Linked DNA regions of Drosophila melanogaster. The protein of the gene in region 2 interacts with the protein of the main gene of each other region in a pairwise test. Each region holds a gene or a part of one and is shown on either strand. Other genes may lie near its edges.

Region 1 (5,451 bases), on a different chromosome or scaffold from region 2:
TTCAGAAGGGTGTTGTAGAGATTCTTCGGGTGGCCAAGGATTCCATGGGACAGATCAATCAAGCGGAGCTGCGATCCGGGCACAACGTACTCCAACTCGATCTGAGCGATGTGAGGATCAGTGCCCCTATACTTACGCTTTCCTATCCACAGAATGGGCAAATCCTCCGTCACAACATGCTCCAACTCTTGGACCAGCGGAGAGATCTGGACGCGATAATTGAGGTTCTTGTTGTTTCGGCCGTAAAGAAGACTTCGCTCCGCCTCCGTGAACTCAAGGTACTCAGGGCGGACGGAAACAAAGTGCTCCGACCGGAAAAGCCGATTCATCTCCATTTCGATGACGAAATACGCTCGGCGATGCATGCATATCCAGACTATTTGGATGGATACTGCCAGAAAATGCTCATGGAAGTACTTATCGTGGATAGTTGCTGAAATGTTGGAAATCGGCTTCATGTGGTAGTACTTGGCCATAGATCCCTCGCCCTTGATAATCTCACAGTAGTTTCGGGCTAATAGCATGCGGAAGTGGCTCAGGTAAACGGAATAGGTTTTCTTCATCTCAGTGGTCTGCTCGCTCTGAATTTGGGCCATCTGGCCAGAGAGTTCATCTCTGCGAATCAGGACGAACTCCACCAGGCGTAGGTAGTACTCAAAGTACAATGTTAAGGCGTGGAGCACGGACTGCACCTGTGGCTCATGCATGAATTCAATGAACTTGTAGGTTAGAAAGTCTTTAGGCATCAAGTAGAGCACCAGATCTCGAATATCTCTTAGCACCACTGTGTCACTGGTGTTGGACTTGGCGCGTACATACTCCTGCCGGAAGATAAGCTCCTCCTCTTGGTCGATGGTACGCAGGAACTTGTACCCATTGGTGATTATATAGCGCTCTCTTGCGTTTTCCAGATCGTTGTGCGCCTGAAAGTTGAGGCAGTCCTTCTCCGAGTCCCATGACCACTTGCCGCTGTAGTACTTTGGAGCGTAGTTATCGACATGGACTCTTTTCATCGTAGTCGCGCAGATAAACCAAGATCGGGTTGTGTTTAGTGTTTTTAAAGTGTATTTAAATTGATGTGTACGTGACGAAGTTTAGTGGAATTATGCTCATGTTTAAAGGCCTAAAGTGAAGTTTTATTCCCAAGCTCCCACCTACGAAACCCATACCCTTGATCGGATGCCAATGTCTTTCGTCTTCGTGCATTTATTATAAAATAGCAATCCATAAGTGTCAGTGCTTTAAAGCTCCGATTTTCTGTATATATAATAATATGCAAAAATTGCAATTAACGTATAAAATTAGGTAGTTTTTTTTACCGCTTTGCCTTGCCTACACTAAATCGCGATGCAATACTACTACGCGTAGATGATGCATGCTCCGGATCTCTATCCTCCTTGCGTATTTTGGACATGATCTTAAAATAGTTGGAGATGATCTGATCGACCCTTTGTCCTGAAGATGTGCTTGCCAACTCCTTTTCACAACGCGAGACTACGTTCGTGAGTAGACCTCCGGACCGAAAGAAGGCTATGTTGATGTCTCGTTTGACCCACTTGCAGATCTGATGGTGTGTGACCCGCTCATGAACCTTACAGAGCTTGTAGAAATGTTCATATTTCTCTTTCATTGTACGCATCTGAAGCTCACCTATCTTGGGTATTTGCAGGTGAGGTCTCCTGATTATATGGTACGGATCGAACTTTTCCGAGAAGTTTGAGAAGCGGACAGCCGGCCAGTCGAGACTAAGAAGCGTGTTGTAGAGGCTCTTGGGATGGCCCATGATGCCGTGCGATACATCTATAAAGCTGAGCTGCGAACCGGGCACAATGTACTCCAGCTCAATCTCGGCAATGCGGATATCGTTTCCTCTGTACTTGCGTTCGCCTATCCACAAAATGGGCAAATCCTCTTCAGGAACCAGCTTTAGCTCCTGGACTAGAGGCGATTCCTGAATTCGATAATTGTAGTTCTTTTTGTTTCTGCCGTAGAGAAGACTGCGCTCCGCCTCCGTGAACTCGAGGTATTCTGGGTGGGCGGAAACAAAGTGCTCGGAGCGGAAAAGGCGATTGATCTCCATTTCGATTACGTAATACGCCCGGCGATGCATACAGATCCAGACTATTTGGATGGCCACTGCCAGAAAATGCTCATGGAAAAACTTATCGTGGATTGTTGCTGAAATGTTGGAAATCGGCTTCATGTGGTAGTACTTGGACATATTATCCTCGCCCCCGATGATGCGGCAGTAGTTTCGTGCAACAAGCATACGATACTGGCTTAAGTATACCGAAAAGGTTCGTTTCATATCGTTGGTCTGCTCGCTCTGCACCTGACCCAGGGGACCGGAAAGCTCATCCCGACGTATAAGTATAAACTCGACCAGTCGCAAATAGTGCTCAAAGTATATAATCAGGGAGTGAAGCAACAAGTGCGTATCCCGCTCGTACATGAACTCAACGAACTTGTAGGTTAGAAATTCTGAAGGCATAAGGTAGAGAACCAAGTTTCTAATATCTCCGACCACCACAACGTCACTATAGTTGCTTTTCGGTAGCACATACTCCTGTCGGAAGATGAGCTCCTCCTCCTGGTCTATTGTGCGCAGGAACCTGTAGCCATTGGTCATAATATAGCGCTCTCTTGCGTTTTCCAGATCGTTGTGCGCCTGAAAGTGGAGGCAGTCTTTCTCCGAGTCCCATGACCACTTGCCGCTATAGTACTTTGGGGCGTAGTTATCCACATGAATGCGCTTCATTGCGTTTGGCAGTAAATAATGGTATAAATTTATAAAATCGTATTTTAGTCAAAAGCAGTGAAAAATCAGTGTCGTTACATTGAGAGTTAAATATTTATGTTCCTCAAAAAGACTGAAATTTAGATGCTGCAGCGACTCCGATTATTTAAAAGACCAAATACAATAATTTCCAAGGGCGTGATTTTTCTGTCAATCTGTATTCTCAGAATTTGTATTTTCCGGTACCACGCTGATTTAGGTGACCGGTGTTTCCCGGACTGTGCTAAGCATGTTCCGCCGCACTAATGCCGATCCGGTCATACGGCAATTTATTCTGCGCACTGCAGTCCTCAATTATCTTGGCAAGAGTCTGCGAGAGCAGTATAATGAATATTGCCTTTTGAGAACCCAGCACGAAAATATTAGGCTGAAGACTGCGAGTGATCAAGAGCTTGAGGACCTGCCGACTCTTTCCGAGCTATTTGAGATGCAACAGTTGAAGACGGCTGCCACCCATCGTCTGCTGATGCGGGAGTACCAAGAATTGCTTGCCTACATGATGGACAAGAGTGATTTGTGGGACAGTCAGGAGTACTTCAAGGCCAAGTCTGCGCTTGGGGCGGCCATCCACAATCTACGGGTTTGTGCACCCACCAAACCAATGGACTAAAACCAGTCGAGAGGAACATTTGCCAGATAGAATTCCATTCAATCAGTATATATACATACATAAATAGTGAAACGATCCACGAGCGACTTAACTACTTGTAGAAGGGTATCTCCACGCGTCCGGATTTCGTGTTAACCGCCTCCCAGCAGGTGCACGCAAAGGTTGAGCGGTCCATGTGATCGGTGTATAGTTTTCCCTCCAGGTGATCCATTTCGTGCTGCGCTATCCGGGCATTCCAACCACTCAGAGCCAGTTCGCTTTGGTTTCCTAGTTGGTCAAGGCCTGTTAGCTTTACACCTTCGAAACGCTCCACTTCGGCAGAGTAACCTCGCACACTCATGCATCCTTCTGGATGCTTCAGCTTCGCGTAGTTGGTCACCGTCAGGACGGGATTGATGAAAATCTGTAAGAAGCAAACCATTGTATTATAGGGTTTGGGCTTCCGAACACAGCTAGTTAGGACCCCAGTCTCACAGTCAGTGGCAACTCGGACATTTGTCGGGCTTGGTAAACGGCCTCGGGCAGCTCCTTTCGGATCCGTCCCTTGAACTCCATTGCTATGATCCTGAGCGATACTCCAATCTGAGGAGCCGCAATGCCGACGCAGTCGAACTTCCTTAGCACCTTGACCATCCGCTCGACGATGGCCTTAATCTCGGGGCTAGCCATGTGCTCCTTGGGCACCAAAGCCGCTTGTTGCCTAAGAACAGGGTCACCAATCTGGGTGAAATGGTTGTATGGCGGCAAGTTTGTGCGCTCCGTGGTCCACAGGTGCTGGTACCACTTCCTGAACGACTGATTAGCGGGAGGACTCGTTCCAAAGGATCGACAATGTCCCAGAATCGCTTGGCATACTTTTATCCGTGGTTTCAGGTGCATTTTGTGAAATGTTTAGCCTCCTTTAATATTCCGATCAAAATCGTAGGGAATATAGTTACACAACACGGTCATACTGGCCAGCTGACCGGCTAGGGATGTGAAAGTATGTACCTATCGATATATCGGTGGAAATAGATTTGATATTTGGCGCGCTTTTAAATATATGCTAGGTGCATAAAATACTTTTTCCCCGCACACAAAGTTTATTTCGTAAACAGCGCATTCATTTCAGAAGTGTATTTTATTTTCAAACAATATACAAATATGTTGTATAAAGCGCCATAAAAAAGTGAAAAGCTCCTTGAATTAAATGCAACCAAGTTATTACTTGTGAAACCAAATGGCGGATCGACCTTCAGCTGCGTTGATTTGCTCCCAGAGGATGCAGTTGAAGGTGGAGAGATCCATCCTATCCATGTAGATAGTTCCATTAAGGTGATCCACCTCGTGCTGGGCGATCCGTGCGTTCCAGCCCTCCAGTTCCATTTCCGACGGAGTGCCCAGCTTGCCGATCCCCCGGATCCGGACCTTATCGTACCGTTCCACCTCAGCGGAATAGCCTCGCACACTCATGCAACCTTCGGGATGCTTGTTTACTTGGCTGCTGATTATCTCCAGCTCCGGATTAATGAAGACCTGCAAGCAAATGATTTATGATGAGAAATCACGGGATTGTTGCTGCACATAAGCAATATTTTTGTATGCAGAAATTTAGTTTCTCAAATTCATACGTTTATAAAACTGCATAGATTTACATATATTTTTCGAACGCGAAAAGAAAAGCTTTACTTACGGCCAAGGGCAGTATGGACATCTTACGCTCCTCGTAGATTTCCGGCTTGAATTGCTCTTGCTTTCCCTCTCGGAATTCCATAACGATAATACGCAGCGGTATTCCAACTTGGGGCGCAGCCACGCCCACGCAATCGTAGTGACGTAACACCTTTACCATGCCGTCAATAATCTGGTTGATCTCCCTACTATCGATGTCCTCGGGCGGCACCTCTTCTGCCCTTTGGCGCAGAACAGGATCCCCAATTTGGGTAAAATGACGATATGGCGGAGCGGACATGATTCTGGTCGGAAGAAGATCTCTACTGAACCGTGTCTATCGAGCAACTACTGCACAGAGCTGTCGAGGTGGACAGATTTTGATACGATAGCC
Region 2 (10,635 bases):
GCAACTCCTCCCGCAGAGATTCAGTTGTCTCGTTCATCCGCTGGATACTTTCGCGATGCCGGATGTCATCCAGCTGCAGATGGCTCTGCATTTTCCGAACAAGAGTGCGCATCTTTTCCATCTCCAACTGGGCACTCTTTTGTTGATCTTGAAGTGCCCGCTCTCGGCCCGAGGACACAGCCTCCTTCTCCTTCAAAGCGACCACCTCCTCTCGCAAGATTTTGCGCTGAAATTCATAATACCTCAGTTTTCTTTGTGCCCAAGGACGACAATAGTCGGATACGCCACCTCTGTTCTCAGCTCATCCTGCAGCTGCTCCACCTGATCCAGTCGCGTTTGCAGGCTCTGCGCTTTCCTCTTGGCGTCCTTGAGCTCCTGGCACTGATCCTCGAAGCTGGCCATCAGGCTTTCGTACTTCGTGCAGAGTTCCACGCTTTGATTTTCTTGGTTTTTCAGCAGGGAAGGGAGGTCTCGCAGTTGGCGGGATAGATCACCTGATAGTATACATATATATATATATATATATAGAAAGAGCTTTTAATTGAAAATTATAAGTTTTCTCTCACAATTCTTCTGTTTGAGGACATGCATCTCTTCTTTGAGCCGATTGTTCTCGCTGAAATCGGAGTAGCTATTGATCATGGACTGCAGCTGGCTAATCTGGTTATCTCGATCCTTTAGATTTTCCTGCAGTCCCTTGATTTGGCAGGAAAGTTGTCCGTTCTGGTGGGGAAAAAAGTGGGCGAGAAATCAGAGAAACGATTAGGAGCAATTTGGTAAATGTGTGCTTTAGTGGATCCAACTTGTATCTCCAGTTCACAGTTGATCCGTGACTGATCGACGAAATGGAGCTCGGGCTCTGGGCAGGATTGGCTGGCTAGTGAGCTCTGCTGCAGCTGCTGCTGCTGCTGCTCCACCTGTTCGGTCAGCTCCTCGAGATCCCTTTTGAACTCATCGATGATGCTGAGGTAATTATCCCGGGTGGCCTGCAGTAGATCCGACTCGGTCTGGCAGTGGAGCAGCGTGTGCTCCAACTGCTGGCGGTGGGGGCAATCGGTGGAGCTGTTGCCTGTGTTCTACAAATTCAAATTGAGTTGTGGCTCACTTGGTTGGTACCGCTATTCTCGAGGCTTACCATGGCCACTCGGAAATCGGTAACTAATTGCCTGCAAATCCGCGCACGAAATCACCTGTCAGTTGTCAATTGTCGATTGCAGATACGCGGATGTACATATCTATGTGTTTAAATCGTTTTCGGTGTCGAATGCCTAGAAATGGAGCCTTCGTGCCGCCGAGCTTGCAAATATATCTCGCAAATATGACCCCCAGACGAATTTTGGCTTCATTACCGTTTCATTTCATTTCAATAATATTGCTATTAAAAGTTTGTCACGAAAATAAAACCAATTCGAAACGTAGGAGGTGGCAAGGTTTCGGGTTTCCGGTTTCAAAGTTTCGCTTCTTTGGCACTTTGGCAACACACAAGTTTGTTGGGTGCTTGAAGGGGTGGGGGGTGAAGGATGGTTGAGTGGGGGGGGGGGGGGTGACTTCCCCTAGTTTTATAGATATTATTATTTGCGCGGCCCGACTGTTTGACACGATTTGAAAATAAAGTTAGTTGCAGCGGGTGGCAGCGAATAGTATTATATCGTCTGTCTATTTCTTGGATACGATAGATATATGGATATTTATGAATGATGAGTGGAGGGGAGTTGGGCGAGCGTGGCTCGGCGCACTTAAAACACTTTTAAAGGCATATTATATTGCAGTGGGTGGGGCGGGGGGTTAGTACTACGAAATTGATAGCTCAGGCTCGGGGAAATGTGAAAATCGATTGGGACGGGGGCAATGAATTCTTATGATTCCTTGTCTGTCATTAAACCCATTAGCGGAGCCCAACAATTCGCTTTTCCATCGGCTCCATTTGCACATTTACGGTTCGCAGCACCAACTTTCTTCACTGCACTTCGCGTCCCTCTTTGCGAAAGCACTCGAAAACAATTTGCACTTTTGGCCAACTTTCTCCTTTCTAATTGCCCGATTTTCCTTTCGTTTTTCGCGCCGAAAAGATAATCAAATCGACGGAGCGCGACTTAGGCGACTAATTACGCCTCGTAAATTGGCTGGCGAGGATTTGGCGCGTTATTCCTGGCGCTTCCTTGATTCGCTTCACGCGACTAAACGGCCAAATCCGCCGACGGATGACAGGATTCTGAAGCGAACTGCTCCCCTGCTGGGGCTTCCTGCCGAGTTGTGTTTGATTTTGCGCCCGACAGTTTCGCCAAAGAGATGATGGCGTGAGGGGTGACGACTTTGTTTATTGTTCACACCTCGGGAATTAGTCATATCTAAATAAACATTTATTTAGGTAATTACTAAATATTTGTATTTGCACTGAGCTCAATTTAAGTTGGTTCGGTATTATGAATTACTTAGTGCATACGATCGAGATCGATGTAAATGGTCGTGGTCCTTGCAGTCACGCGGATCACGAGCAGTCCTAGTCAGTGAAGTCCCAATCCCGGCGGCACTCATCAATATGCATATCACTGCTCGCCGGAATCGCGTGTCGATTGTGGGTAAATAAATAACACGAAACCTATTTCCGATTCGCCAGCTCCACTGGCTGGAGGGCAGAAGGTGCTCCCCCCTCAGGGGCAATTGCAGTTGAACATACAGCCGAGTTTCCACAATAAACACATTGGCGAACGATTTGTATTTGTCGTATGTAGACATTTGCCCGGCGGGATGAGTGAAGTGGATCTCTTTCTTTTGTGTCTGGGCCCAATATATATATATTCATATATATATATATATGGGTAAATAAATCGGGGACTCGAATGGCAACAGTAGTTCTTTTGTCAATCCAGCCAGGATTTACCGAGTATATACTGTACCGAGTATATATGTGAAGGCGAATGTCGTTTACCACATAAGAAGAAAGTTCTATGTGCTGAAACGTAAATCGGAAATGTATTTCAAGCTCATAATTTGGTTGGGATATGAAAGAAACTTTATTTAAAACTAGTTCATTTCATTAAAACTATTCATTTCAGCAATCTGTGATTCTAGTTTCTGTTTAACCATATATAGATAGATATAGATTTGAGTGGAGTTGAGTTTTCGTGGCGAACAATCGCGATGATAAATAACTTAAGAACGACAAACTTTAAGCTAAACTATACAAACTTCTTAACGTGGCTTAGATTAGACTAACTGTTTAGGAGGCCCAACAAGTGACATAGTTACTTGGAGGTCCTAAACGTTGTAGTTGTGTTTTTCGTTGGTATAGTTTTAGTTGTCGTTGGCTTGTTTGAAGGTTTAGGTGTTGGTTGTTGTTTGTTTGTTTTTGCCGTGGCTCCCGGGATTTTGGTGGTTTTGGTTGGCTTCCTTGTTTGGGAAGGTGTTTTCGTATCGCATTCCTGCATTTGATATGACAACCGGGGTTATTGGAATCGGCTATTGGTTATTTGCGATGCAATCAAAGCCGTCAGATACTCACAATTTCCACTTGATTTTGCTCCTGCTCGAATTTCCGTGCAAACATATCCGCAATGGTCGTACAAAATGGATTTTCTTTCGAGGATTCGTCGTAGATTTCGTTGTAGGAGAACTCCTTGGAACCCTGAAATGATGCACATATTTTTAATATGCATTTCCTGCAATCCTGCAGAATAGAGAAGAGTCTTAACTCACCAACGAGCAGATGAGTTCGGCGATCTCCCTTAGAACATCGCTATTTCTTTGAAGAACGCTGCTTTCCGATTCAATCCTCGCCTCCAGCTCTGAAATTTTGACTTTTTGCAAATAGGGAAATAGTTATAGCAAAAGTATCGAGAATCGGATATACCCACTTTTCGACTCGGTGTCCAGGCGCTGGTACTTTCCGTGCAGTTCTCGATTAAGTTGGCTAAGGTTGAGCAGGCGTCTACGTAGAGCTTCCAGCATCTGAGCATCCGCGTCCAGATCACAGGGCCCTGATTCGGGATCAACGGAGATTAGGCAGGATTGATCGAGGTCTGACTGAAGGATTGTCAGATGACTACGAATGCTCTCGAGTTTTTTCAGAGTGTCCTCACGCTCGGATACCTTTGATTAAGAAGGGTGTAATTAATGAGGATATGCTAAAGCTCAGAAATATGTAAGTCGAATCCCTCACCAGTTTTTCGATAAAGCAGGACACACGTTTTCGCCGAATCTCAATGGTCTGGAACTCCTGTTTGTTGTGCAGATCGAGAAGATCATTGAGCTCCGCGTTTAGCAGCCGCAGCATTTCGCTCTCCTGGGTGTCGTGGATCGAGAGATTCTCGAGCATATCGCTTGTAATCGCGTCCGCGGTCAGTGTATCGTTGGGCGATTCCTCCATTTTGGCCTGATCTCTGGACTCAATGCACCGGGTGATCTCGTGCAGCTGTTTTCACGGTATTTGGAATGTTAAAAAAAAGCTAGTTAGAAAGTTTCGATGTGCTTTTTGATTGAATACACTGAAAATTTTACCAAGAAATTCGGTATTTCACTAAAAAGATACTCGATTAGGTTTTCGATTGTACGCTTAAGCAGCCGATTAAGCGATAAGAAAAGTATTCCAATGAATCTATAATTAAACTGAGCTCAATAATGAGTAACGTCACCTGACGACGATGATGTTTTTGTTTTTTGTTTTTAAAACAACGAATTGAATAAATTCCTTCCATAAGCACACAATGCACATATGCAGATTTCTGGTTGAGTAATGCCACAATAGGATATCTCACCTGTTGATTGAGCTGTGCTATGCACTGATCCTTCAAAAGTAACTTCTGCCTGGCCGTGTGTACAACCTCGTCCAAGGCATTGATCTGTGACTTCAGTTCGCCGATCTCGTCATGCTTGGCGGCTATCTCGCCGACTAAGGACTTCATGCTCTCGGACATCTGCGAACAAAGTTAAACGCCAATCAAAGCCAAGCATTAAATATCGATGAACAAAATATCAAATTTTATTAAGAGCAGCACAAAATATACGTATTTAGTTAGCGAGACAATCATTTAGAGTTCTCGCGCTTGTGGGACGACTTCGGGTCCCACTTGACATTGGAATCACCGCCGCCTTTTCCCTTCAAGGATCTATGGCCTACCTTCTCGCTCTCGCATTCCGCGTGGGCGGGATCCTTTCCCACGCCCCGCAATTGATTAACGGTCAGTGTCTCTAGGGAAATGCCATTGAAATCAAAGTCGGTGCAGTGAGGAGAATGCTGCACGCGTTCTATGATCGCACAAATGTCCTCACGCAGCCTACGATTCTCCTCGAGGGTATGCTGTTGTCGCACTTGGACAGACTGACAGCAGGCAACGATCTTGCTGTACGCCTCCTTCTCCAAGTCCGACACGTTGCCCAGGATCACGCTGTTCACGTGGAGCAGGAAATCCACCCACTCCTGAAAAGTGACCAGACGCAACTGGCAAGTGTGCTAAAAGGGTATGAAAATGGGTCATATAAAATAATTTATCTCAAGGGGGATTTTGCTAGGAATTAGTTTCAATGGATACCATCCTTGATTTACAACGAATCTCACCATGTCATCACCCTCGTGCTCATCTAGGCAGTCAATCTCGTCCAGCCGCTTCAGAAATATGCTGTTCAGCTCAAAGCTCATATCGCCAGCATCGCCGTTGGTATCCCGCAGCTTCTGGATCAGACAGCGGTAATGTTCGGTGGACATCGCCTCGGTGCTGGCAGTGCACCGATCAGGAGATGAGGCTTTTAGCGTCGATTCTTGATGTGGATGCGAGGCACTCGTTCCGGTTGGCTGCACTTGCCGACACATTTGACTGGCAGATGATGGTGGTGGCGGTGGCGATGATGCAGGTCTCGACGGATTCAGACCCATGGACTTGGCGTCTAGGACGAAACCGGCTTGGCGACTGGCCATGATATCAATTCAAAATGTAATTACCACGTTCTTCTTACTAAGAGCTGATTTAGTCGGCCAGGGAATAGCTTGTGTAATTAGACATGAGTATGACTTTAAGGTTTCTACATCGAAACGTTCACTTCGAAAGCGGCAATCTCAAGGCACTGCTGATCGGAAAGATCGAATGCAGTTCTCCTCGCCTTCAACTGCACGCAAATCGCAAATCACAAATCACTCACGAAAGTACAAAAATCACAACAAAAAACACTTGTAAAGTTGTAAGCTTATTAAAAACAACACAAAAATGGGCGGAAAAAAAAATAAAAAATAGAGAAAATATATCTGATTCGAACCTTGGCGGCGACGTCAAGAGCAGCTCAGCGCGCTGCGTTCATATCTTTTGTTTGCAGTCTTCTGACGTAGCAATGTAGTTTTGTTTATTTATATTTTTCTTGTTTTTGAGCTACACACACGCGTATTAAGTATACGGTTTCAGCATGTTGTTGTTTTTATTTCTTGCCACGATCCAAATACCGCGCGTTTCGTCTGCGCTCCGTTCGCGATCGCCAACGAAACCGAACTGAGCGCTCCGCTCCACACACTCGCTCCCCACCACCACCGGCCAAGAGCGGCTCTCTAGAGAGTTGAAAAACTCGACGGACTCTCAGCGCTTATCAGTGCGTCGGGGAATCGAATTGGATCGCTGCGTGTGTTTACCCAAGAACTTAGCATTCTGAATTTCTGGCCGGGCTCACGATATACATATGTATGTATGTATCTTACACAATATGCGAAAGTCATCGCTGTTTGCCCAAGTTGCGGTTTCGGGGTTCTGCCAATTTCGTATAATTGTTAACTCATCCGGTGTATATTTGCCCATGGATAAGTTTGTTTGGTCGCATTGATAACTCCGATATGGTCGTTCAACGCGGTTACACAATAGCTGGAAAAAAGCTGCAAAAACCATGAATTTTAAAGATTAAGAACTAAAAAATTTCGAATGATTCAGAGAATGATTATGCCAATCCTTAAGTCTTATTGCCCATCCCAAATTTTACACGATTAGCACAATATGTTGGGCACCAATTGAAAACAGTAGATTTTTTGCAGATTTAAATTGTTACCAAGTTCGTTTTATTGTACAGGCGAATAAAAGCATTTCATTGAAAATATTTTAAAATCCTTTTAAAAGATAGACAACAACTGTGTTAACGCTCATTATACGTTTTATTTATATCGATTTCTCTTTTATGTAAGAACAAAATTTATTTACAGTGTTTAGATCGCGTTTGCTTGCTTCCGTTTTCGTGCTTTCGGTTCGGCGTTAAATTGTTTTTCAAAATCAATTCTATGTGTGTCCTACTTAACTCAAATCCATTACAGAAGTGTTGCCTACATATGCCTGGAATCGATTCCCACATATCAACTAATAGATAAAACAACTTTTTCGTACAGATTATCATAATCACTTCACGTTGCTTTGGGCGTACACAAAAAATGAAGATAGAGGAATATGAATAGTCATTGCAATCCTTACGTTCTGTTCACACGCATCTCAAAACGTGGGATGAATGTTTTTATTTGGATTGAAACAGACGACGTATAAATGTACATCAAACGCTCTCTAAAATTCATAATTCATTTATAAATTTATTACTTTAGCTATATTTATAGTTATTAATATTTTCTTGCTTATATTTCTGTTGTTGCTTCTTTACCTTTTTACTCAGCTGCTTACAATTAGGGGCTGCATTATGCATTATTTCTCTTATCTTGCTTTGCGTACGATTCTTGTGGGTGGATGTGGTGTGTGTGGTTGTGGCTCTGAATGGGGTGGTGGTGGAGCAGGTGTGTATGTGGTTGTTTGGGCTTACTGCTATACACTTGTTATGCGCAAAGAAATGACCATAAACAGTAATTAGAGAATATCAAGAAATATATTAGAGGGATAATAATTATGGTGGTGCCTTATCCAATAGCATTTTTAACTGTTGAATTTTGAATGTCAGGCTTACAAAATGGGTTGCGAAACGAAATTTTACGATTCGGGGCGCACTAATTGATATATTTATGTATTCGGGTTATTGGCTGGCGGTCATCTATAATCGTGGTCAGTATCCGCCATATCAATGCCGCTCGTATGCTCAGGCCATTCCGTCCGAGCTGCAGATTGTGTTTTTCAGTTAGTGTGCAAGCCCTGGCGATTTGAAGATGAGTGTGTTCCGGATCCTGCTTAAGACGCTCCTGCTACTTTTTGTGGGCCGCTTAGGCCAAGTAGTTGTACACTTTGCGATCTTCCGGCGATCGTTGCAGATACTCGCGCTCGATTAGGCCCTCAATGCGCTTTTTGATAAACACGGGCGAGGGCAAGAAACGCGACTTTAGCTGCGACGTCACATCTGATACTAGCAAGTTGTGCTAAGAAAATAAAAACAGGAATCATGGTTAAATCACAATCCAACCAGATAGCAAACGTATAATACTTACAGCCAGACGCTTGCGGGCCTTCATTATGCGCACAATAGCCGCTTCGATCTCGTGCTTACGATCCTCGTCGACCTTTCCGCGCGTTTCCTTACGCTCTGGCTCTGATTCTCCCTTGGCGGCTACCGTTTGTATCTTCACCCTAAAATAGTTTCGATATTATTACCAGGCGCCGTTCTTTCGCACTGAAAGTAATATCTAACCTGTGGAACTTGGAGTTGAAGGCGTCGTTTACGTAAAACTCATCCGTGGGCTCAATGTCCTTAGTTTTCGTTTTAGAATTGCGTACTAACAAACGCTGAGCGGGTTTGCCCATGGACAACGATTGTAGTGCTCGGACGAGCTCCCGTTCCGGTATATCGGTCTCCTGGTGTATGTCATCGTAGGTGAGCACGTCGCGGTTATTAAACAGCAGTAGCACACACATCTAATTTTGGATTATGAAATACATGTTAAATGTTTAGTTAAATATTTTTTTCAGATCAATGAAATAAAGCTGCTTCTGCTAAATAAAATTCGGAGGTGTACGAACTAAAAGATATTTTAGCTTACCTGGTACGTGGACACTTGCAATATGTGCTTGCGTGTGGTGGTGGGCACCCCACAGCCGCTTGAACTGGAGCTGGGTGCATCTTTATCCTTTTCACTTTCAACTGCCTTGCGGCCATAAAACACAGCGTTGATATAGGCGGTTCCTATTCGAAGGGGAAGGCATAAATACAGTAGTTGCTTAAAAAAGAAGATCATTTAAGTAGCTAACCCATTTGTGGCTGTAACGTCAATTGACGTCCTGAGTGCTTATTTAGATAGAAGTTCTTGAAAATGTCAAAGGCTTCACGCGGAGCGGCGGGTATATTGCAGTTCGGAGTTGCTGTCTGTTACGGAAATTGAAGATAAGTTAACCTATTCACATAATTATGGAACAATTTAAGCTTACCTGTGTGGGCCAAAAACCAGTGGTTAGTATGCGTACCGTTAGCTCCACACCGCCAAGGGATAAATTGTTATTATTTACAAAGTTCTTAAACTCATCCATGATCGTATTGGAGACTGACATATCTTTAAACATGCCCTCTAGCTTCGAGGTGAATTGACAGCCGCATTCAGTCTGCAATAATAGAGATTAAAGCGATAAATAATTATGCTAAGATACCAAGTAACTTGACCTACCTTTAGTTTTGATATCATATTCTTCTCGAAATCATCAGAGACTGATTTGTTCAGCAGCAATCTCTTGGCTAAATGCGTCTTGTAATAGCGCTCAAAGACATCTTTCTCCAATAGGAAACGGAAGAGAACCATTGTCTTATCCAAGATGGACTCAATTTCCTGTTCGCTCATCTGTGGAAAAGTAATACACATTATTAATACATTTCAGAAAGCATATTGTAAATTCAACTCACTCCCTTGCCACCCTTTTTCAGTTTGTCATCGATGAATAGCGATAGATACTCCGGGGATTTGTTATTTAGGTTCAAGAAATGTTCAAAATCGGATGAGATGACGTTTTTGAATATGCGATCGTTGGCGAACGAGTGCACCAGAAACTGGTCGAAGCGGTCCTTGAGATCCAGCAAGTTCTGCACGAATGTTATGGGATTCGTGTTGCCGTTTTCTTCTTCCTTAACCAGCATGCGTCCTTGCTCTCGCAGATATGCCGACATTGTGTCCGCTATCACCTTGAGACCCTCCTCCTTCAGGCGCGAGAAAAGCTTATATGTGCAGGCCAGATCCTCGGTCTTTGAGTTCTTGATCATGTACACCACGCCCGAGTTCTCCATTTCAACAATGGGTCGCATGTGCTTTTTGATCAGCTCTTCTTCGACCACGCGCACAATGCGGGGCTCCGTATCCTTATCGAGATACAGCGCTGCCCGGGAAGATTCCTCCGTGATGCGCGCTTCCACTTTCTTGATGTAAACGCCAGCGTTGTTCTCGGCAAGAAAGTTCTGCGACTCGAATTTGTAAAACGCCGCCGATTGCGCAAGGAAGGGCTTTTCAAAGTCCTCTTCGTAGACAGTGCGCGAGTTAATCCCCAGGGTGATCAGCATACTGCAAGCATTCTTGATAGCCAGATGGTTAATGGCTTCGCCATGACGTTCCTCCATCACCATGCCCAGCAACTTCTCTCGCAGGGCCTTTTGAATCTCAGAATAGCGAACCACCTGGTAATGGAAAAAGCGATAAATATATTTCCAACGGAATAAATGCAATAAAGATATTCCTACCTGATCCCTGAACAAAATTAATCCCAAATT
Region 3 (7,648 bases), on a different chromosome or scaffold from region 2:
CTCCATCCATTAAAAGATTCGCTCGCTGACTTTGCACTTTAGAGCTGCGATATTATTAATGATCATGTCTCGGAATGGCGGAGAAAGAAGAAGGGCATCGGATTTGGAGTGGGTATGGTGTTGGGGTTTTAAAAACAAAGGCGGCCCAGTGACGTCACAGCGACGTCAGCGGACCAAATGGCGATATTGTCGCTGACTTTGGCACCCACACAGATGCTTTATCTTTAAGTAAGCAAATAGCATTTCTATGAAGCCCACGCCATCAGTCTTCACAATAGCAAAACAATACGAAAAAAAAACGAAGCCTCGGACATTCAGTTCAGTCCTCAAAGCTCCTAAGTTTCCAACTCGATGAAATGAGCCAGAGAAAACCCATCCCGAACCGTAAATGGAATGCGATGAATAACCAAACAAGCCACATCCAAACTATAATGACAACTGTGATAAGGCACGGTGACAGGCTTGGGTTGGTCTCTTCTGGGTGGGATGAGTAGGATACCAGGAAATGTGGCTCCCAGGAATGCCAATCCAAACAGTGAAGATATCGGGCGTAGCTAACAAACGCCCAGCATCATGTGTGTCTGATGATACATATATGTGTGTATGTACATTATAGTATATATCCATTTCTGATAATGCGCCGACTTCTACGACTCGAAATATGAATGAAACTTTTGAGGTCGTTTCGTGGAATTAGATAGGAATACCTGATATATGACCTGTTCATTGGAATTTCATAGGCATCAAGTAGTTGGACTGGGCAAAATAACTGGAAAATAATAACAATTTCATAAACTAAATGCTAGAACTAGATGGTTTTTCCACTTAAAATTAAGTTGGTCCGCCGTTTAGCAAGGTCACATCACTGCGTATGTGCTTTATTAAGCATATTCACGAGGGAATCTAAGGCAAATCAAAGGCAATTCCCATAAAAAAAAAAAAAAACAAAAAAAAAAAACAGGCAAAGACGGAAGTTGAATAAGAATCGTATTCAAATGGGGAAGGAACTTGTAATGACATGCTAATCAAATTGAAGTGTATCTTTACAGAGCACTGGAGGCTGAATAAAAAGTGTATGCAAATGTGGCGATAAAACTGAAATTACAATGTACCATTAACTGGGTCAAAAATTCCAGACATTTTTTTTTATAGACTAAAAACTTGACTTAATATTGAGATAGTTTGAAAAGTATTTCAAGAAAAATACAAGCAAGTCGTCATTTAGTGTGCAATATTATCATTATGCTTGCAGAAATGTCTCCATCTCTGTGAGATACTTTCTTATCAACAGTGTTTTTTGTGCTTATAAACACAATCCCCGGGACTTATAGAGTAATCCCCCAACGACACGAGGGCTCGTGTGTCATATAGACATATATGCGAATCCTAATGGGAACGATGACGTATGCGTGATATCACCCAAAATCGCTTATCACTCATCCCACCGCAAAGAAAAAAAAATAATAATAAAAAAAAAAATAAAAGAAAAAAACAACAACCCGTAAGACAGAGCTTTATACAATTGTGTTAGACTGGCGGATGGGATCATCATAGATATAACCACACTATACAGTAGATAGTATATCGTATTAAGCATATATAAGCCGCATGCCCGTGGCTTAAAAAAAAGTAGAAGAACAACAGGCCATTTCTGGGATGCCTCCAATTATTGCTTTTGTCGGCGGTGAGGGTATATATATACATATATACCATATATTGCTATATGAATGCCAGGCAGATAAACCCGCTTGATAAGCGCGTAACATTATTAACCAAACACACATTGGCACACATACATATACGATCAGACAACATACATATCCATATCTCTTGCATATACACATATGTACATGTATGTATGTATGAGATATCCAGGTGAATTGCTTTATTATCGTTATCATGACTCCGAAAATTCGGTTTCTAATACTTTTATTTGCTTTACAAACTTTTCGCCGTCTGCTGACAACAGCAACAGCAACAAAAGGAATAATAAACCACAAAAAAAAAAAGATGCCATTATATAAACGTAAATATGTGCTGGCTTATATATGTACATAATATTTATCTATAATACAGTATACAGTTAACTAAGATAAGCTCTTTTCCTCGCTATCGCTGCCGTTGTTTTGTTTTGCAGTTCTAGATACGAAAAAAAAAACGAATTAAACCAACGGATCCGAGGTTTTCGTATTTTCGTAGATATATACTTGTTTTTTTTTTTTATCAAGGAACCCCCTATTTTTCAACATCACCACCATCATATCGTTCTCATTCACTCAAAAAAAAAAAAAAAAAAAAAAAAAAAACGATAATTATTATAGCGAACGAAAAGCGAAGAATACAAAAAGACTTCTCCGAGTAACAGAACCTCATTTTAGTGATAAGATAAAATTCTAATTAATTAATAGCCTTTTAAGCAAACGCATACACTGAAAGAAAAGACCTGCATATGCAAGGTGGAAAAACCATTAGCTGATAAGGCGCGGGATTACCGTTCTTGAGCCTATATATCATCTCATCATCTTTAAAACAAGATGAAACTTAGTGGTAATTCGCATTATCAAGTCAGTAGTTCAAGGGATTTTCTTTGTTTTTTTTTTTCTTTTTATATTTAATAGATATGCGTATTGTAAAAGTCTTATTATTATAGTCTTTTTCTATAGTTATAATGGTCTTGCAGTTGATAAACTAAACGGTATAATACTGCTCTAGAGCAAAATAGATTGTTTTTTTTTTTTTTTAATTATGCCACATTTCATCTACGCGTAGCACCCGTTTCTCCCTGTGTATATGCACCAACTTGCTTATCTCTTTCGCTGCCATTCAGACCTGCCCTCATTCACTGCTCTTTTATGCTTTCGATAACAACAACACAAACAATCATTAATGATATTTAAAAACGAAAAAAAAAAAATAGTGTTTAATATTAAATTTACTAGGCTGCTCCACTTTGTTACTTGTCCGTTTTGCCAACCCGAATTCTTTAGTCTAGTTTGAGATTTCCCTGGTTTGTGACGTCATCGCGGGCGCCTACCTTCTTGGATCGATCCCGCTGACGATCACCAAGCTGCGTGGCGGCCATTAGTTCGCTGATCTGCCGCTCCCTCTCACGTTCGCGATCCCCCCGCTCGTAATCCTCCTGAAGCATCTCCTCCGCATCGCGATCATCCTCATCGCGATCCTGCTCATCGCGATCCTCGTCGTCATCCTCCTCCTCCTCCTCCTCGTCGCTGAGACTGCTGCTCTGGGTGCTGCTCTTCCTGGCGAGCGCAACTCGAACTCCATTCACGATGCACTCGCCACCATCGAGGGCAGAAATGGTGGATCCACAATAGTAGAGATTGCTGCAACTGCTTGCTGCACTGACATCCGATTGGCCATCGTCCTTGCCACATCCCGGCGACATTCCCGCCGCTCCCGATCCACCGTGTCCATGTGCGCCATGTCCACCGCTATGACTGTGATGTCCCGCCTCCAGGGAACAACGCCGCTGACCACGCGCCCGCTGCAGACGAAAGTATTCCATTTCCTCCATGCTAATGCCGCAGGCGGTTATGTCATCCGAATAGTCGCTAACCACGACGGATGGTGTGCGCACATAGCGCACGCCCAGCGGCAGTCCACTGACGCCCAGTTCGCTGTACGAGCTCTGGGTGGATTCACGTCGCGATCCCGGTGCGGCTACCACTCGCTCCTCGAGCAGCACCTTGGTGGGCACACCCACGCTCGGATTGCCACCGCCGGTGGGCGATGTCAGTGGCGAATCTGGCAGGGCTGTGGGTTCGGCCAGTGGCAGTAGGGCCGGTCGCAGGGGTAAATCCGTTACGGTCAGTGTCATCCGACGTTGTGGCGGCAACGGCACATCCATGCCGCCATCGTCCACGTCCAGACCCAGGGCGGAATCACTACTGGCACAGCGTGTGACCTTCATTTTGCGCTGCCTCGGCGATAGGCTGTTATCCTCGTTGTCGCTGCTATAGGGACTCAGTCCGCCGCCGGTGACATTACAGCCCTCATCCGAATTGGATGCAGTGGCTCCGGGCAGTGTCTTGGGCTCGCCCTCGTTGCTCAGCTGCTGCTGCTGCTGCTGCTGGACAATCATGGCCTGGAACTGATCGATTAGCTGTTGCACCGGCTTGCCTCGTTCCGTCTTGCAGCTGGGATAAGCACTGCGGTAGTTGGTGGTGCGAGTGATTCTAGTGGTGCTGCTTGTCTCGCTATCGCGGGCTAATCCACCCACTTGATTGCCGAAAAATTGCGCTTTCAACTGCGCCTTGCGTAGGGCCAACTCGGAGATGGATGCCACCTCACATGGATAACCAATGTCACTTCGCTGATTGGATGTGGCCGCAATTGGGTTTGCTCTAGCTCTGACTGTAGCTGCTACTTTGGTTCTGGCTCTGGCTCGGGCACTAGCTCCAATCTGCTCCGCTGTCCGCTGATAACTGAACGCCGTTGCCTCTGCCGTCGTCCATTTATTTTCAATTTTAACCGTTCTCCGCGTTGTCGTCGTTGTTGTTTTTCCAATTGTTGTTGCTTTTGCTGTCGTTTTCGTTTTCGCCCTCGCTGCCGACGCTTTCGACGTCGACGTCGACGTCGTTATCTTTGGCATGACATCGAATTGGAAAGCGGGGGCGTCAGACGTTCGCGAAACCGTTCCCGTACCGCCGTCGCACGCACTCATCTCACATGGATGGATTGGCTGGATCGCGGGTAGAGGTGGGGTGGGTAAAGGTATGTATACACCAGGTTAGCAAAGAGTTGGGACTAATGAAGTAAGTGTGAGATTCGTTAGAACAGCAAAAATGAAATAGGAATATGCAAGAAAGTGTAATGGGATTGGTGATAAGAAAGATGTTGTAAGCAGAAGAAGTTGAAAAAAGTGCAGAAAATGGAAAATGGAAATTCGTACTATTTTCTGTATACTAATTTACTAAGGCTTATATAAAGAATTCAATGGTAAGAGATGGTAAAAAAATAGCTAGAATGGTAAATGTTAGAAGCGAGTGAAAAGTGAAAGGCTGGCGGATAGAACGATAGTAGAAAGCATAAAAACAGTGAAGATTTCCGTTAAGAATGAGTGTGTGAAGATAGTTAAAAGGGAGGATGGGAATAATAAGAAAAAGGATAGTAGAAAGAGAAACTAGTGAAGAGTAGTGGATGATGGTTGGGTAGTGATTGGGAGTGACTGATAAGGAAAGACTCAAAAGTGAAATGGTGCTTATGGTGTTGGAAAACGATCTGTGTGTTCCGTCGAAACGCGCTACTAACGCTGGCGTCGAGGCAAAATCGAGTGGAACTATAGGTGAAAATGCCACTGGAATTCCCGGCAAACATTCTACGTCCGCACTTTCCGAATGGCACCTGTGCGCTGCCGTCGCCGAACTGAAATCGCTTTCTGCGGCTCTGCAGCTCTGCCCGTTTTTTCCAGCGGGCCGGCGGGAGGGGCGAAAAGAATCGAGAAGAGCAGCGTGGGGGGCGGGGGGAGGGGAGTCTCGTGGGGCGAGAATGGGCGAGGGGAGGAGGCTCGAAGAATTGTATAGAAGAATCGTTGAGCCGCGGAGTGGAGTGGCGCATCAACGGAGAGCAGCTGTTGTGGGGGCGGGCGGCCGTTCTGCCGTTCTTATTTACTTGTATTGTTGATAGTTTTCTTCGACAAATTTGCTGTGCCTTACTTAATTTTCGGTTGCTTTTGCCACTGTTCGGTTCTCTCGCAATTGAGATGGATTTTTTGGTGCTACTGCAACTGCCACTGCGTCGGGGTAATTGTAATTGTGATCTTGAAACGTTGACGCAATGTGCAATGATCCCGCACGTACGCACGCACACAACGGTAGCTGCTCCAATTGCCGCGCGTAATTGTAAATTGCATTTGAGCACAGAGCACTGAGCGGGCACAGATACGTCGCACACACACACACACGCGCGAACACACAGAGAGGCGCACGCACACCAGCACACACAGTGACAGACTGACAGGCGATGCGAGCCCAATGCAATAAAGCACTCTGCGAGCACCACTACAAGCGCACAGTCACGCACAATGGGACGAATCGGTGATTTATCGCCAAAAAAAAAAAATGAATTAAAAAAAACCCAGCTGACTAAGAACTTTTCCCGGAAAGCAACTAAAGCACTAACTAGTTTTTCAAGATCAGATTTATGAAGCTTACCGAAACAAAAGGTATAATTAAATTTTGCAGTACAAGCACTTATTAAAAACTAAATTGTATGGTTTAAAACTGGCAGCAGTCTTTAGTAAACAATTACAAGCTGTAAAATTCCCGTTGAAATATGAACAAAATTAAATAGCTCTGCCCATGTTCGTATCGTGTTCATGTTTCTGCTTATAAATAAGTTCCCATCTTGCTTTTTATAGTTAACTATCAGACCAAATGACGCAAATAACATTTTATCGCTTTACACCAACTTTTTGCAAAACACAAAACCAAACGAAATCGACCCCAGATTAAATTCTTCGAAATTAAAACCGAGAACAGTCCGCTATACACAAAAAAAAAATATAAAAAACCAAAAACCATTTACGTACATGACTTACGAAAGACGAAATATGTCAGTACATTTGTATAGCTCAACCGCAAACCAACGACCTACGTCAAAACTGATTGTAGTTGCAGAAATTCCGTAGCAAATTGCAAAATTTTTTTTATGAGTTGCAATAATTACTATACCTATATATACATACGTACGTTATACAAGTAGGTGACAAAACCGTAAGTCGCATCCGCATTCAAATTGTTCTTCGTAATTCTCCACAAGTTAAAAAAAAAAAAAAAACGAAAAAAAAGGATAGCCCAATTTCCCATCAACAGGTTCATTGACTATATACATATATACGTCGCTCATTATCTGGACGAATTTTTTTGGTATGCTCGGAATCTTTATGATAAGCACGTGATTCACTCGAAATGCCCACCCACTCCACGGTGCCATGACGATGATAATGGTGATGATGATGATGATGATGATACGATGGCCGTATAATGCTTATAACGATGATGATGGGTGATGGGTGACCCACGGAGCGGCATCGCACTTTGTCCAAAACGCCAGCGGCTATATGACGTCAGTAGTCGACGAACAACGCAGACGCAACAGCCCAGACAGAGACGGCGAGATGGCAGAGAGGGTGGGAGAGAGGGGGCCAGATTACCGCGTAGACAAGGGCGCGGTGATTACTCAACGCCCCGCCGCACCCCCAACGATTCCCGCCGCCCTCCGCCCACCATTTGCGGTATAAATAACAAGGGGGCAATTAAAAATGCATTTTTTTTATTGTTTTATGTGATTTTTTGTCGTTGGTTTGTTTTTTTGTTTTTTTTTTGTTCTGGCTCTGTGCGCGTTGTTGTGGCTTGGCCTTTTTCATGGGTTTAATTTTTTTTATATATTTTATATATATTATTTTTTGTTGACTGACAAGACGCACGGACGCTAGTTTGCTGACGCTGATAGGCACTGGCGGAATGACGTGGTAACAGCTTAAAGTAATACACCCCCCAGCTCTTCTGCGGTTGTGAAATCAAAACCACTTTAGGTTAACACACCTGCGATCGAGATCGATATACGGCTAAGTTTTTTCGCTCGGCCAATTACGTCAATGCATTTGACGAGAGACGCAGGTAGCAAC

Evidence for each region.
Region 1: the proteins of yuri (region 2) and CG14684 interact in a two-hybrid assay, tested with the Drosophila melanogaster proteins (one large-scale study listed by BioGRID).
Region 3: the proteins of yuri (region 2) and IP3K2 interact in a two-hybrid assay, tested with the Drosophila melanogaster proteins (one large-scale study listed by BioGRID).

The regions. Positions count from the first base shown.
Region 1 is NT_033777.3:10,703,977-10,709,427, forward strand, and holds CG14684 (uncharacterized protein), read left to right. Parts: upstream 1-2,997; 5' UTR 2,998-3,026; coding exon 3,027-3,407; 3' UTR 3,408-3,484; downstream 3,485-5,451. Other genes in the region: CG31391 (uncharacterized protein), read right to left, coding at 1-1,013; CG31467 (uncharacterized protein), read right to left, coding at 1,316-2,758; CG31278 (uncharacterized protein), read right to left, coding at 3,499-3,810, 3,882-4,286; CG31373 (uncharacterized protein), read right to left, coding at 4,611-4,922, 5,080-5,358.
Region 2 is NT_033779.5:15,258,216-15,268,850, forward strand, and holds the start of yuri (yuri gagarin), read right to left. Parts: upstream 6,013-10,635; 5' UTR 5,912-6,012; coding exon 5,555-5,911; intron 5,450-5,554; coding exon 5,117-5,449; coding exon of another isoform or gene 5,024-5,116; exon of another isoform or gene 4,952-5,023; intron 4,914-4,951; coding exon 4,755-4,913; intron 4,588-4,754; exon of another isoform or gene 4,412-4,587; coding exon 4,160-4,411; intron 4,090-4,159; coding exon 3,855-4,089; intron 3,798-3,854; coding exon 3,697-3,797; intron 3,626-3,696; coding exon 3,503-3,625; intron 3,423-3,502; coding exon of another isoform or gene 3,246-3,422; exon of another isoform or gene 2,994-3,245; intron 1,529-2,993; exon of another isoform or gene 1,139-1,528; coding exon of another isoform or gene 1,136-1,138; intron 1,077-1,135; coding exon of another isoform or gene 804-1,076; intron 724-803; coding exon 567-723; intron 495-566; coding exon 289-494; intron 227-288; coding exon 1-226. Other genes in the region: Cul3 (cullin 3), read right to left, coding at 8,159-8,311, 8,381-8,519, 8,581-8,804, 8,930-9,072, 9,138-9,252, 9,315-9,485, 9,548-9,718, 9,781-10,542 and 1 more.
Region 3 is NC_004354.4:13,302,334-13,309,981, reverse strand, and holds the start of IP3K2 (inositol 1,4,5-triphosphate kinase 2), read right to left. Parts: upstream 4,468-7,648; 5' UTR 4,103-4,467; coding exon 3,035-4,102; exon of another isoform or gene 1,978-3,034; intron 1-1,977.